Regions from separate parts of the Mus musculus genome. Here region 2 is reported to be linked to region 1. The links are microRNA targets in miRTarBase. Many come from high-throughput screens and were not tested one by one. Region 1 holds a microRNA gene; the other region holds the end of a gene's coding sequence.

Region 1 (7,121 bases):
CTGCCTTGAAAAACAAAACAAAGAAAAATCCACGTGGCTAAATGATGGGCAGTGGTATCAATTTTCTGAAGAGAATTTTTAACTTGTCAAAAGGGTTTACAGAACTTATACCAATTAGAAAGAGTTGCATAATTTCAATTTACAAAGCTTTTGAAGAATACACTCACTGCATGGGTTGTGAGCGTGAGGACAGCGTGAATGAAAGCAAGAAAGCAGAGACGGGACTGCTGGAGAGAAATACAAGCACACAGCAGTTATCTGTATAGCTTGTTTCTTACCCTACTTGCAACTCTTGTTCAAAAGTCCCTAAGAGCACCTGTGGGCCTTACAAAATTGGTGATCATTGACTGGTTTTTTTCTGGGGGTGTTCCTTATACGATAAGCACATGCTTTATCACTAAGCTACACCCTCAGCTCCTTCAGCCATTGCTCCAGCCACGTACACTGTGGCTTTTAGTATAAATATCCCGTAAGCTTCACACAATGGCCATCAAAGTAATCACTATACTATGCTTCCTTTTTTTTTCTTTTATTCTGAAGCTTATCCATTAAACTATTACATCTTCCAAATAACCTAGGAATCAGTTGTTGTTCAGACCTTAACTACTTTAACAAAAAGAATCAACTGTTAAGGTCTGTCTTCATCCTAGCCTATGTTCTTTAGAGGAAGTCCTGCCATGAACTGAAATGACCTCCTGGTAGAACAACAGGACAGATCATTACTTAGAAGACTCCCTCCCAAGACAGCCATAGAAGACGTCATGCCTCTTCTGGTTAGAAACAGAAATGGGCACTAAAGCCCAACTTCAGAGCGACAGTCAGATGCCCAATCACTATCTAGGGCTGAAATTAGAATCTGAACCTGAATCCTGGCCTCTGCACTTGTCTCTCAAAAGGGACTGTTTAGTTGAGTAACACTGTTATTCTATGGCTTGTGTCAACAGGGTAGTCTTAAGCATATGACATAGAAGCAGGCTGGCCACACTGGACAGTTTTAGGCTTGAGGCTTTGGTCACACAGTAGCTACCAAAGTCTGGAGAGACTGACATTGGCTTTGTAGGCCATACCAGGATGACAATATACATTCTAAACACACAGGCTTTTGTGAACCTTCCTGGCTGGAATATTCTCTCTATATTATCACACACAGACCCGAGAAGGTCATAGAGGAAGGACAAATGGAGCATTTGCTCTTTTCTTGGATCTTTCCTACATGTTTTTTCAATCGACTAATTCTAATCTCTGTCCTTTCCTGCAATCACAACTGTGATAGTTTTCAGTGAATTCAGGCTACCAAATTATCACGTTGTAAGTGGTCCTGGGCCCACTGGCCTTCAGCTCAGATGAGGATTAAGTGGTCATGTTGGCCATATTAGTAGTTGCCTAAACTCTCAATTGAGGAGTTTTGTAGGCTGTGCCCAGTTCCCATGTGGCTAAATCACAGTAGTGCTGTTTCTTTCTTCACATGTATACTTGGGGTGAGCAACCCTCCAGATGCTCCACTGGGGGAACTCAGTGAGTCATACACTGGAGTAAAGCTGGATTATTTTGGTTCCTCCTCTCTCACAATCACCATGTTAAACAGTTCTAGCCTTACCTTTGTTCTGAAGGAGCATCTGCAGGAAATGACTGATGTGCGAGAGCACGGCCCACAGTCTCCTTCATGGCAAAGCTTTTCACAGGTGTGGATGAAATCTGTAATAAAAAGGGACAGAGTGGGGAGTGACAACTGCACTGACTGATCCTGGTATTTCCAAATTCACTACCAACGCTGTGTCCTCATCCTCAGCTTCCCTCCACCCAGCAGGCTGGGCACTAGCATGTTGCCTGCTGAGGGAAAGCACAGACTTCCCGGCCTTTGCTTTAGGTCCCACATCTTTACATTACATTCAGATCTCCCTAAAATTTAATTGTGATGACTTTGATGAAATGCTCTAGGCTCTGAAAGTTATCTGGGGATCGCAGACAATTCTGAAGGCACAATCCATAGTTCCATCAATTGGGGCTGCTCTCTACGCAGCCACGAACAGCCTGCATTCACCTGATAACTAGATTTAGGACAAATACTTTTTTTGTTTCCCTTTCTTGAGACAGGGTATTATTATGTAGTCCAAGATGGCCTCAAAGTCATAATCTTCTCGCCTCTTGGCCTGCATGCTGGGATTACATGTATGTACCACTATCCCAGGCCCAGGACAAGTCGTCTTTCAGAGGCTCATGAAAGGACAACCGTAGTTGTTTTCATGTTTGCAGCACTGAAAGCCAAGCTCAGGGAACTGTGCATGCTAAGCAACTGCTCTACTGAGGAGTTACACTGCCAGTCCACATCAGTGTCGCGCTTATATTAATTTTACTAGTATACATTTATCCTATCTATCAAGCCAGGTAGAATGGCACACACCTTTAGTCCCGGCACCCAGGGAAGCAGAAGCAGGCAGATCTCTGAGTATGAAGTTGGAGAGAGTGAGCTCTAGGACAGTCAAGAGCTACATAGTGAGATCCTGACACAAGCCAAGCCAATTAATTTATACTTATTGTGTGTGATATGCACACATGTCAATGTATGTAATAGACCTAGTTGGCCTTGAACTCACAGAAACCCTGCCTGCCTCTGGTTCCTGTGTTGGGAATAAAGGTGTGTGCCACCATTTATTTTGTGTGTATGCATGCAATGTCTGAGGACAACTTGTAGGACTGAGTCAGTTCTCTCCTTTTTAACCCAGTGGGCCCCCAGGACAGAACACAAGTTATCAGGTTTGGCAGTAGCACTTTTAAACACTGAGCTATCTCAGTATTATCAATATGTTTTTAAAATCAATTGGGAAGAAAAAAAACTTTCCGTTTTTAGAGACATGGTGTCATGTAGTCCAGGCTGGTCTGAAAAATGCTAAGTAGTTAGGATAACTATGAACTGCAAAATTCTCTGCCTCTACTTTGTGGAGTGTGTGGAGTGTGTAGCTGAGGATGGAACCAGTAGCTTCACTCATGCTAGGTAAGCATCTACTAACTGAGCTACAACCTCAGCCCAGCAAGTAGCTACAAAGCTAAACCTGTGCATGTTTCAAAGACCAAGTCACACTCAAACCTCCAGGTACTGAGTAAACAGACAGGTGGTACATGTCTGTAACCCTGCCATTGAGAGGCTGAGACAAGGGGGCAGGCTTACAGAGGCCAGCCTGAGCTACATACAAGATCCTGTCTCAGAAAGAAAAACAGTATGACAGCCCTAAAACAAACAAAACTCACATTATTTTATATCTAATTTCAATGAACTTTTCTATATACAAATAACCAGAAGCCATAAAAAAGGAAGAAACAAGGCATCACTAGAGATCAGAAGGCAGCAGCACTAAAAATATTAACAAGAATAAGTAACAAGAGCCAAATTACCTTAACAAACAACAAAAAGCCTCAGAAAGCCTGTAATAAAATCCTAACTGTACACACACACACACAGCTGCAGAGCAGATAGCTTGAGAAACCTCAGTGGACCCCACATCATCACTTTAGTCAGGGTAACAGGTCCACAAGAAAGATCAATCAACAATGTAAATGAAATTATCTTCTGTTACAAGTCTTTAAAAGGTAATATGATCTGGGTATGGTAGCTCATATCTGTCATCCCAGCCCTGGAGAGGCTGCCGGTTTTACCAGGGCTGCTTAGTTAGAGCCTGCTCGAAGGAAAAGTTTAGAAAAGTATTTACCCAGACAAAATGATGCTCAGAGGCGTCATCCCCACCTATGGGGAGGGACTTAGCTCTAGAAGGCATTCTTTGAATGTTTAAGTGGCTGAACACTTAAAATTTCAGTTCTTAAATATCTCATCCAGTGTTGTTTTTGCATGTTCCTATTATAAAAAATGACATTTAAACACTCCTGGAATGCTAGATCAGTAAAAGCCTATACGGTGTTTGCACTAGACTAGGCTGTTAAGAGAACTGATGGTGCTGGCAATAAAACTGGAGACATGACTTGGGAATCTGTATTTTCACAAGTGTAGTTTGAGTAAAAGAAAAAAAAAAAGTATCTATCCAAATTTGATCATCACATTTATAAGAACCCCTGCTCTTAGGCATTTAATGTTACTTGGTGAAAACGTCATTATTCCTAAACATTTACATTTTTAAAAAAATAAAATCTTTTTCATTTTTATTTTATGAGTATGAATGGTTTGCCTTCATGTATGTTTATTACAGACAGCTGTGAGCCACCATGTTGGTGTTTAAAATTGAACCTGGATCCTCTGAAAGAGCAGCCAGTGCTCTTAATCACTGAGCTATCTCTTCATCTCCTACATATTTAAAAAATAAGTTTAGGTCAACTAGTTACCTGAGGAACCACAGGCCAAGGGTTTGCCACACACTTTTCCACAGGAAGGGACAGGATCCATGCATGTTTTCCGAGCATTACTTCCATGTTCCAGCAACTGGCTGAGAGGTGTTTGGCCGCAAGGGCAGTATCGCACCAAATGGGGGAGCCGTGGGCAAGGCTGACACGGCTGAGGGTGGCAAACCTGAGAACAGGTATGGCTCCCACACTTCAAGTCCCTATTAAGAAAAACAACAGACAATTAATTGCACAACTGTTATATAAAATGAAGCTTTATTCTAAAAGAAACTTTAATCTAAAGGTAAAAAAAGGAAACCCTTACTTGCCACATATCTTTAAACAGCTGAAGTCCCCAAATCCATCAGACTTTCCCACATCGGTTCCACACAACACATCTCGGGAGGTGCTGCCACAGTAGCACACTTGAGGACACAATTTAAAGGACAAATCAATAACCAATCCATGCTTTAAAAATGTCCCCAACAATCTATAAATGTTCATTAGTATAGACCAGACATGATGCAGACATGAATGTTGTTTATGCGGCAGCTCTCCCACCCATCTAAGAGCTTTACGTGGGAATAAAGCACGCTCTGCCCCCTCTGCCAGTGCCTTAGTGCTGCTGCAGAAGATACCCTGTAAACAATGACCTCAGGCGTCAGAGGGCCCGATCCAGTCTCAATGGTGGGCAGCAGGCACTGTGAAGCTCCCTGCATGGCACAGGGTGCCGGCAAGCTAGACTGAGATGCAGAGGGGTGGACACCTAGATCCCTTCAACTCAAGTGAAATGGATCACATGAAATGCTCCCAAAAAGGGCCCTGCTGTTGAAAGAAACTTATAATTTTTATTAAATTACATAATTTTTCTGGTATCACTTTACATTTTTTCCACAAAGGATATTTATCACAAATTAGTCTATACCTTGCCCATATGATAAATGGTGAACAAGAGTAAAAACTAGCCGGGCGTGATGGCGCACGCCTTTGATCCCAGCACTTGGAAGGCAGAGGCAGGCGGATTTCTGAGTTCGAGGCCAGCCTGGTCTACAGAGTGAGTTCCAGGACAGCCAGGGCTACACAGAGAAACACTGTCTCGGAAAAAAAAAACAAAAACAAAAACAAAAACAAAACAACAAAAAAAAAAAACCTAAACTGGAAACACTATGGAACTAATTAAATGCTAACTTCTTTTTTTAGGATAACTTAGGTTAGCTACTGGCCCAGAAAATCAACATCAGAATAAATGTAATTGAGTTCAAGAAGAGACTGGTTTAACAGCAAATTCTAGGCAAGACAGGGACGGCTAGACGGCTATATAGTGAGAATAGTTTTAAAAAAATCATATCCATAAAATAGTAAACAGAGCCAAAAACAACTTCTAGCACATGGCAAGAGGAAAACCTCAAGTGACTGAAAAATATTTTTTTTTTTACATTTTAAAAATAAACATTTTAGTGCTGGAGAGAGAGAGAGCACAATGGTTAAGAGTATTAGTTGCTCTCAAGAGGATCTAGGTTTGATTCCTCAGCCCCCATGTGGTGGCTCACAACTGCTTGTAACTCCTGTTTCATGAACCTGATGTGTCCTTGGCTTCCTTGGGCACTAAGGCATGTCTGGTACACACACTGACACACCCATACATATGAAGGCAAAACATCCATACACATTAAAAAATACATTCTGTCTTCAAAAAAAGAATATGTGCATCTTTACCCACTGTGACACTAAAACGCACATCTTACCAGGTAAGTATTTGCTGGATGAATTTATACAGAGAACAATCATTTGTTGGATGAATTCATACAGAGAACAATCAGTCCTTTGGAACCAGTGAACTGGTGGACAAACTCCAGCAGCCAGGGGCTTCTGAGAGCAGCCTGGTCTACGAGCAGCCTTTGCTCTGCTGAGCTTTGTTTCTTCCCTTTCCCATCTCTTCTATTCTGAGGCAGGGTCTGGCTGGATCATGACATACACATGCTTAACTTCACAAGTTTGCTTATAGCTATGCTGAGGTTGACAGTTGTCAAAGTGACTGTAGCAGTTTAAACACCTGTCAACATTGTATGAAGATGCTAGATGCTTCACCCTTGCCAACATCTGGATTTTAGTCTTTCATTTTCGACATCCTGGTAAGTATAAATAGATGCCTCGCTATGGACATGCTTTTGATCCCTGTTCCTTGGACTCTCCCTCTAGTGCAGGCTTCTGTGAGCAGTTCTGTTGCAATATAACTGACACACCACACAATTCCAGAAATGCCTGCGAGCAGTGCTAACAGGTGCACATACACCACTTACCCTGGTTCAGTATGATCCGACAAGGCTGGCATTGACCCCCATGGCACAGCTCAGCACAGTGGTGCTGACCACAGTTCAAGATATTCTCACATGCATTAGAACAGTGGACTGAGACAGGCTGACCACAGCGAACCGTGTGCCTATAAAGATAGACACAAATGCATCACTCCGAAGTTCCCACTACACAGACTGAAGCCCAAGCCCTTCCCTCAACACCCAGTAAACGCTTCTCTTGACATTGCTCTCCCCAACTTTTTCTAAGTGTTTCCTTCAAATTTTTAATTAATTTTGTGTAGACATGTTTGTAAACAGGTGTGCAGGTGGCCATGGAGGCCAGAGATGTCATGTCCCCAGAGTTGGAGTGACCAGCTCTTGTGAGCTGCCCAACATGGGTCCTGGGAATGGAACTCAGGTCCTTTTCAACAGTCATGCACTTTTAATCACTGAGCAATCTCACTGGCCTCTCGTACCATTTTTTTAATTTCAATATTCTCC
Region 2 (7,121 bases), not on the chromosome of region 1:
CTGAGCAATGGAGAACATTGGCAGCTCTTGGAGAGGACCTGAGTTCTGTTCCTAGCACCCAACATTGGATAGCTCACCACTCCAACTCCAATCTTAGGGTATCCAGTGTTCTGTCCTAGACTCTGTGGACACCGGCACACATGGCTGCACATTCACACATACAATACAAACACATAAAAATAAAGCTTTAAGAAAAAAAAAATGGCCTTACCCTGAAATACAGCCCTTTCTCACCTATGTGGAGATGGTGAGCTTGCTGAAGGTGATCTGGGGAGGTGGCTGAGGGTAAAGTGCTTGCCACCCAACAATACAGGCCTGAGTTCAGCTGTGGTAGCCATGCTTAAGATAGGCACTTAGAGGCAAAGGCAGGAAGGTCACAGGAACTGTGGGACCTTCCTGGTCTACACAACCAGTCTGAGGCCTTGGGGTCTGCTTAGCAATGTCCCATCTCGATATCAAATACCAATCCTTAGTATTATACCTGTCCTATAGAATATCATTTTAGAAAACAATAAAGGACAATTCCTGTAAAGCACCAAAAGTGGGGTAAGCATCTCCCTGCTCTCAGCCGTGACTCCACAGTCGCCTGTGGCCCTCGCTGGCAGCAGTGCACTGGCTGTGCCTCCACACGGGCGACTTTGTTCTCACTCTGCTCTGCCCCCTTTCCGCTTGGTTCCAGGTCAAGTCTGGATGATTACTGTCCTCCGGAACAAGTTGACATGATTCAGGGAAAGGTCCTCGATGTGCTGCACTCACTCTACGGGACCCTGGACACTCACCTGGTGTACTCAGAAGAGTCCCCTCTGAGCTGAGACCGTGCTAGGCTGCTGTGCAGTTTGGCGCAGTGACAGACCCGGCTTTTGTTTCTGGGCTTCCAGAGTGCACTTTCTTGTTAACTCTCAGTTGGAATCAGAAATCTCCACGCAAGTATCAGTGACCAACCACATACAACACTTGGGGTAGACGCAGGGGTTCTTGTTTGGTTTTATTGTTTTCACATCAAATCCGTTACCCCGGTTGATGGAGACTGTCTGTTATCTTCCTTGCTTCCCATCGCTGCCTTTGATTCTGTAAGAGGGGTTTTTTTTTTTTCTCTTTCCCCAACAAGGGTTTGGATGATATGAGATTTATTTATTTATTCGCTGATGTTTACTTAGCACTTTTGAGAGCCAGACTCTGTTAAAGACAAGCTGCTCTGTCCTCGTGTGGGAGACCTGAGAAGCAAATAAGGGCCCACAGCAGTCTCAGGGAAAAGGGAGAGCCACGGCTGCGTCTGGAGAACTGTCGGCTCTCAGGGCACCCTTGACCATAAGTATAAAGTAACATTCGCAGATGGCATGTCAGAAGACCCTTGCCAGTCCATGACGGTGCTTGCAGAAAGTCTGCCGCGCTAAGCGTGTTGGAATTGTGCCCACGCGGTTGCTGGATCTTCTCCAGACTTGTTTGTATGCAAGGGGTCTGGTTGAATACACCTAAGCAAAATTTTGTTGTTGTTGTAGGTTTTGTTTGGGTTGTTTGTTTCTTTTTGGTTGGTTGGTTGGTTTGGTTTGGTTTGGGGTTTTTGTTTGTTTTTTGGTTTTTTTTTGAGACAGGGTTTCTCTGTGTAGCCCTGGCTGTCCTGGAACTCACTCTGTAGACCAGGCTGGCCTCGAACTCAGAAATCTGCCTGCCTCTGCCTCCCAAATGCTGGGATTAAAGATGTACGCCACCATGCCCGGCCGTTTGTTTTTGATGGGTTGGTTTTGATTTTCTGAGATGACGGGGTTTCTCTATGTATCCCTGATAGCCCTGGAACTCGGTCTGTAGCCCAGTCTGACCTCAAACTCAAAAGATCCGCCTGCCTCTGCCTCCCAAGTGCTGGGATTACAGGCGTGCACCACCACTGCCCAGCTGCTTACAGTGGAAACGCCTTTTGGGAGTTTTGCCTTGGTGGTCATTATAGTCCTCAGTTGGCATTAAGCATTTAAGCACTAGGTGTCATTTTCTTGGCAGTCAGTCAATCAGTCGAGTGGTTAGAAAGTTGCTAAGCAGATAAGGGCACTTGCTGCTCTTGCAGAAGGCTGGAGTTCAGTTCCTAGTACCCATATGGCAGCCCACAACCTCACAACTCCAGTGTTCTCTTGTGGCCTCCAAAACTACACACGCATGCGTGTACATACCCACATGTAAACATATAAACATAAAGTTTTTATTGGAAAGACCTGTCACTGCATAGAGAAGAGAATGTTTTCTGCGCCGTGCATTGAAGATGATGCTTCATATATTTAATGAGCCAAGTTTGCCCTTAGCCAGAGAGTGGCTGCAGCCACTACTATTTACCCTGAGTTCCCACCCCACCAGGCGTGAATGGGACCGTCTTTATCCTAGAAGCTAATTTCTGCTTGCCTGTTCCCTGCACTTTTGTTCAGTAATTACTTTATAACTGCTTAATTTCTTTAAAGGGTAAGATGATATGTAAAGAAAAAATAAATATCCATCACTCCTGGCGAGCACAGTAGCTTTTGTCTTCACAGCCCGTTTTCAACCCTCGCCTGCACGTGGGCCTGGAGAGGGGAGTAGCCAGGATCAGAGTGACCTACCTCGAAGCGGCCAGTTCTCCAGGATGCCTTACCCTTGCCCTGCGGTGCGTACTCTTCCTACCGTGCTCATGTTTTCCTCTGGCGAATTCTCTTGGCACTGAGGAAATTGACAAAAATCCAATACTATGAAAGCTTGTTTGTATTGTGGAAATAAAACCAACTGATAGCCTTCCATCCTGATAATCAAAAGATTTGTGTTCTTCCAAACTCAGAACTGTAAAATTGTTTTTAAGCTCTGAAAATGTCTTGTTAAAGAGTTCTATAACTAGACATTTCTAGGAATAAATTAGTCTATGTGCAAAATGAAATTAAATCCTGTATTTGGAAGCTTTAAGGGTTTCAGGTCAAACTATAGAACTAATTCTTCTTCGTGTCAGTGCATGGACTTAATTGAGTTTTAGCTGTTTTGGTTTTGGTTTTTTATTGTTGATGGGTTACTGTAACTGCAGTGGACTCTGATGTGAGTCATCATTTTTTAAACCTGGGTTGGATAAAACTTTTTAAATTACTAAATAAAATAAGCATCTACTAACATTTTTAATTTTTTATTATTTTAGTGTGTTGCATGTATATGTGTGTACCACATGGCTTTAGTGTCCATGGAAGCCAGAGAAGGTGTCCAATCCCCTGGACTTGGAGCCAGTACTCTTAACTGCTCTGCCATCTTTTCAACTCCCTAAGATTTAACTTTTATTTAAAAATTTTTACATACAATGTATTTTGTATAATTCCTCCCAGATCCCCCCTTCCTACTCCATGGTCTATCTCTCAAAAACAAAAAAGGAAAGAGGAAAAAAAAAGGTCAAAAAAGGTACCAAAAGTCACACACAAAAAACACAAGAGTATTTTGTGTAGGCCAACTGCCCCTTTCATGGTACTTGCCACTAGAATTGTCGACATGCCCAGTAGCGCTCCTCTGGAGAAAACTCATTAAACTCATTGCCCCTTTCCCAGAAAATACCAATTATAGATAGCTTTTTAGTAGCAGGTAGGGCTTTCTTCCTACTTTCTCTTCTCAGTGCTGGGATTTTGTCTGCTTTTAACCTTTGCGGGTCTTGTGCGTGCTGCCACAGTCTCTGTAGTTCGCATGCCCGTCGGTCTTCTCTCTTTGGTGTCATCCACCACTCTCACCATCTTCCCACCTCCTCTTCCACGTAGATCCGTAAGTCTTGAGGGCAGGGGGTAATGGAGACGTTCCACTGAGGGCTGTGCGCCGAGGTCTCCAGCTCTGCCCATTGCTCAGTTATGGGTTTCTGAATTAATTACGACAAAGCAGCATCTCTGATGAGGGGTGGACAATACTCTGATCTATGCGTATAGCAGTGTGTCGTTAGGAGTCATTTCATTGCTCTGTACCATTGGCAAGATTCTAGTAGGTTTTCCCCTTAGCCCTATGACCAATTTAGTCCCAGGTATCTTGCCACTTGAGCAGTGCCAAGCATATCTTCCATCTTAACAAAGTCTTCAATCCAATCGTAACGCTTGCACCACTGTTGAAACCGTGTTTGTAAGTTGTAGGGTTTGTAGCCAGGTGATGCCAGTGACCACTTTACTCCTCCAACATGCAAAGTACCTTCCAGCACTGTGGACAGTAGTCAGCAGGGATGAGACTTCTGGCTGGGCACCAGCGCAGGCCAGTTCTGCTTCTGCCTTCCGTGTGTTCAGGCACTGTAGCTCAGCTGCCTGGCATGAAAGCATAAGCAGGTTTGTCCAGGCTTATCCAGGCCGGGTGGGTTTGCAGGAACACGCTTGTCTTGAATGCCGGGGGTGGGGGGGGCGATGGTGGGGGGGTTGTTTTTGTGGAGGAAGAAGCCTTCTCTGAGAGTTTTCAGTGTTACCGCTTCTTTATTAGGGGGTTAATAAGGGCTATATAAACCTTGGGGAGTGGGTAGCAGGTTGGGATGTAAATTATTAACTGGTGCTGCGGTGCTGGGAACGCTTCATTTGCATGAAGAGGAATTCCAGGTGCTTGATGAACATGTCCTTGTAGGCAGAGAGCACATTACTCCTGTAATTCGGCTATCAGGCTGCATGGCTACCTCGGTGGTGGACGAGGGAGTTGCAGGCCCCGAAGAGGAAAGAAGCAATCCTTACTCCTGCCAGTCTCAAGATGAGTTTTGGGAGTTTGGACATGTCTCAACCTCACCGTTGTCCCAGGCCTGTTCCCCAAGTCACACCTCTCACTTGCCCCACACACCAGCTTTCTTTCTCTGTTTGATGACATAAGAAAGGTCACTTCAGCGACTGGGCCTTACCTTTCAGTTCTGATCAATAGCCAATAGCCTTGACAATAGCCTGTGATGTTTAGGGGACTGTCTATGGAACCCCTTTGCCAACCCAGTAACATTTTTAATCTTGTACGTACATGGTCAAGGATGGTTGGATCTTTTGTGATCTGACATGAATAAGACCTGAAGAGAATCATGTTCCAAAGAGGAAAGCATAACCTTTGACATCATTTTCCAAGAACTGTGTCTATGAAGTTTAGATCCCTAAAGTTACCCTGCGTTGGGTGAGCATTGCTGACCACTGAAGCAGCGACGTTTCTTCCCCACCTCTGGTTCTTTCCATCCACTTAGAAGCACAGCTATAGCCCTGCGCTGCCTCTCTATTCCTTCCTGGGTCAAAGAGTAAATGAAGGAACATGGGATCTTTTCTTCTAGAAGGATTTGTTCTGCTGTCTTCATCCTCCGATGCAAAGTTTTGAAAGTAGGCCTATGATGGTTTGTCTATCCTTGGACCAGGGAGTGGCACCATCTGGAGGTGTGGCCTTGTTGGAATAGGTGTGACCTGGTTGGAATGGGTGTGTCACTGTGGGTGTGGGTATAAGATCCTCACCCTAGTTGCCTGGAAGTCAATCTCCCACTAGCAGCCTTTGGATGAAGATGTAGAACTCTCAGGTCTGCCTGCGCCATGACAGCCTGGATGCTGCCATGCTCCCACCTTGATGATAATGGACTGAACCTTTGAACCTGTGAACCTGTAAGCCAGCCCCAATTAAATGTTGTTTTTTATAAGACTTGACTTGGTCATGGTGTCTGTTCACATCAGTAAAACCCTAACTAAGACAAGGCCCCAAAGAGTAGCTAACAGGGGTGCCAATGGATGACCAACTCCACCTTAAGAAAGCTGTTGCTCAGAGCTGTAATCCTGTCCCTTATCAACAGCTGTAATGGTGATACAGTTATTTAGAAAATTAAGAGAGAAAGGTGATGTCATTTGGGCCTCAAATTGCAATATAACACTCGCTTTGTGGGGGGAAAAATGAAATTCTGACAAAAAAGAAATTCTCTCAATATAAAAATTTTAGGTGCTACATAACAGAGCTTTTTAAACTCTTTATTTGCTTTTGAGTATTAATAGACTAGTAATTTGACTTTTATCTGGTATCATACTGAGACAGGCCACACAGTGCCTTAGAGAGATTCCCAGATAAATAGCATATAGTCATAAAATGTCAGCAAATAGGATGTTATAATTCAAAGCGAGATACCCACAAATTAGACTTTAGTGTAACTTGCACAAATAGAACTTCATATTAAATAACACAAATGAGGATATGACTATAGAAAGATATGATATACTGATATAAACAGTATTCAATATTCAGGCACCCACACATTAGCATGTGGCTGTTATAAAATCAAGCAAAAGCACCATGTGTTTGACGTTGATACGTCTGTCAAGCTGTGGAGGCCACCAGAACTGCACAGCAAGGCTCTGCATCAAAAACCAACAAGGCAGCTGATACTGAGGGCCAAAGACAAAAAGTGCAGATCACTGGGGCTTTGCTCATCGCTCCAGTTCTGCTCTGCTCTTCCAGGGATCTCAGGTAGGTGTCTGCTTCCCTCCTGAGAAAGTCAGAGGCCTCTTCTAAGCAGCCACAACAGTTCCCCTCTAAAAGTGGCCAAAAGGCATCCCAGACCAGTGTTGCCTCCCAGACATTTACAGCAGCCAGGTTGGTTGGTGTGACTAGATCAGAGACAAACAGTCGGGAATGATCTTTGGCCCTTGGTCAGTGGCTTCCAGGAAGCCTTTTCTCAAGTAGCAGTTCTTCTCCTGTGCCATTCTAAGCTTTGCACTATCCAAGGCCATCAGCTTGTGTTTAATGGTTGCCTCCATCATCTTCGTTTGCATCCTCTGCCATTCGAGGCCCCACAAAGCTCTTGCTGCCTCCCTCCTTCCCTTTCTAGGCCTTATCTTCATTGCCCAGGTGTTGGGATTACAGGTGTGAGTAACCACATACACCCTAGGACACTTTCACTTTAACTCATGAAACTGATTTTACACTTCAGATGTATAAGTGAACAAAGATACCAGGAAAATATTGAAAAATAAACATAACAGATTATATACTGAATGTGTAATTATGTTAGTTAAAATAAGGCAGTATAGATCAGCAGACATAACCAGAATAAGGTACAGAAATAGACCTGCATTGATTACATAAAGTATATTTATCTAGTTTAGCAGAAACATAGCTCTCACACTAAATAAACATTTTCATCAAATTCAAAATAGTCTGTTCAGTAGGCTCCCTTC

Evidence for each region. Region 1 holds the annotated microRNA mmu-miR-3094-5p (UGUUGGGGACAUUUUUAAAGC, at 4,794-4,814, opposite strand). A microRNA usually pairs through its seed, bases 2 to 8, with sites in the 3' UTR of a target mRNA and lowers its output. Matches are read on the target gene's strand: a 7mer-m8 pairs with bases 2 to 8, a 7mer-A1 pairs with bases 2 to 7 and ends in A, and an 8mer does both.
Region 2: miRTarBase lists 6030458C11Rik as a target of mmu-miR-3094-5p. Seed matches in the 3' UTR shown: 8mer at 1,099-1,106.

What each region holds. Positions count from the first base shown.
Region 1 is chr4:40,991,389-40,998,509 of GRCm38, reverse strand. It overlaps Mir3094 (microRNA 3094), which reads right to left and starts at 4,815; the gene lies at 4,752-4,815. Nfx1 (nuclear transcription factor, X-box binding 1) reads right to left here. Exons shown (of 24, transcript NM_023739.3): 7 at 6,627-6,766; 8 at 4,652-4,751; 9 at 4,330-4,547; 10 at 1,598-1,695.
Region 2 is chr15:12,804,403-12,811,523 of GRCm38, reverse strand. It overlaps 6030458C11Rik (RIKEN cDNA 6030458C11 gene), which reads left to right. Exons shown (of 9, transcript NM_029998.3): 9 at 680-3,347. The coding sequence ends at 812. Among named protein-coding and RNA genes, the nearest start is that of Gm41274, 9.4 kb to the right of the region's middle.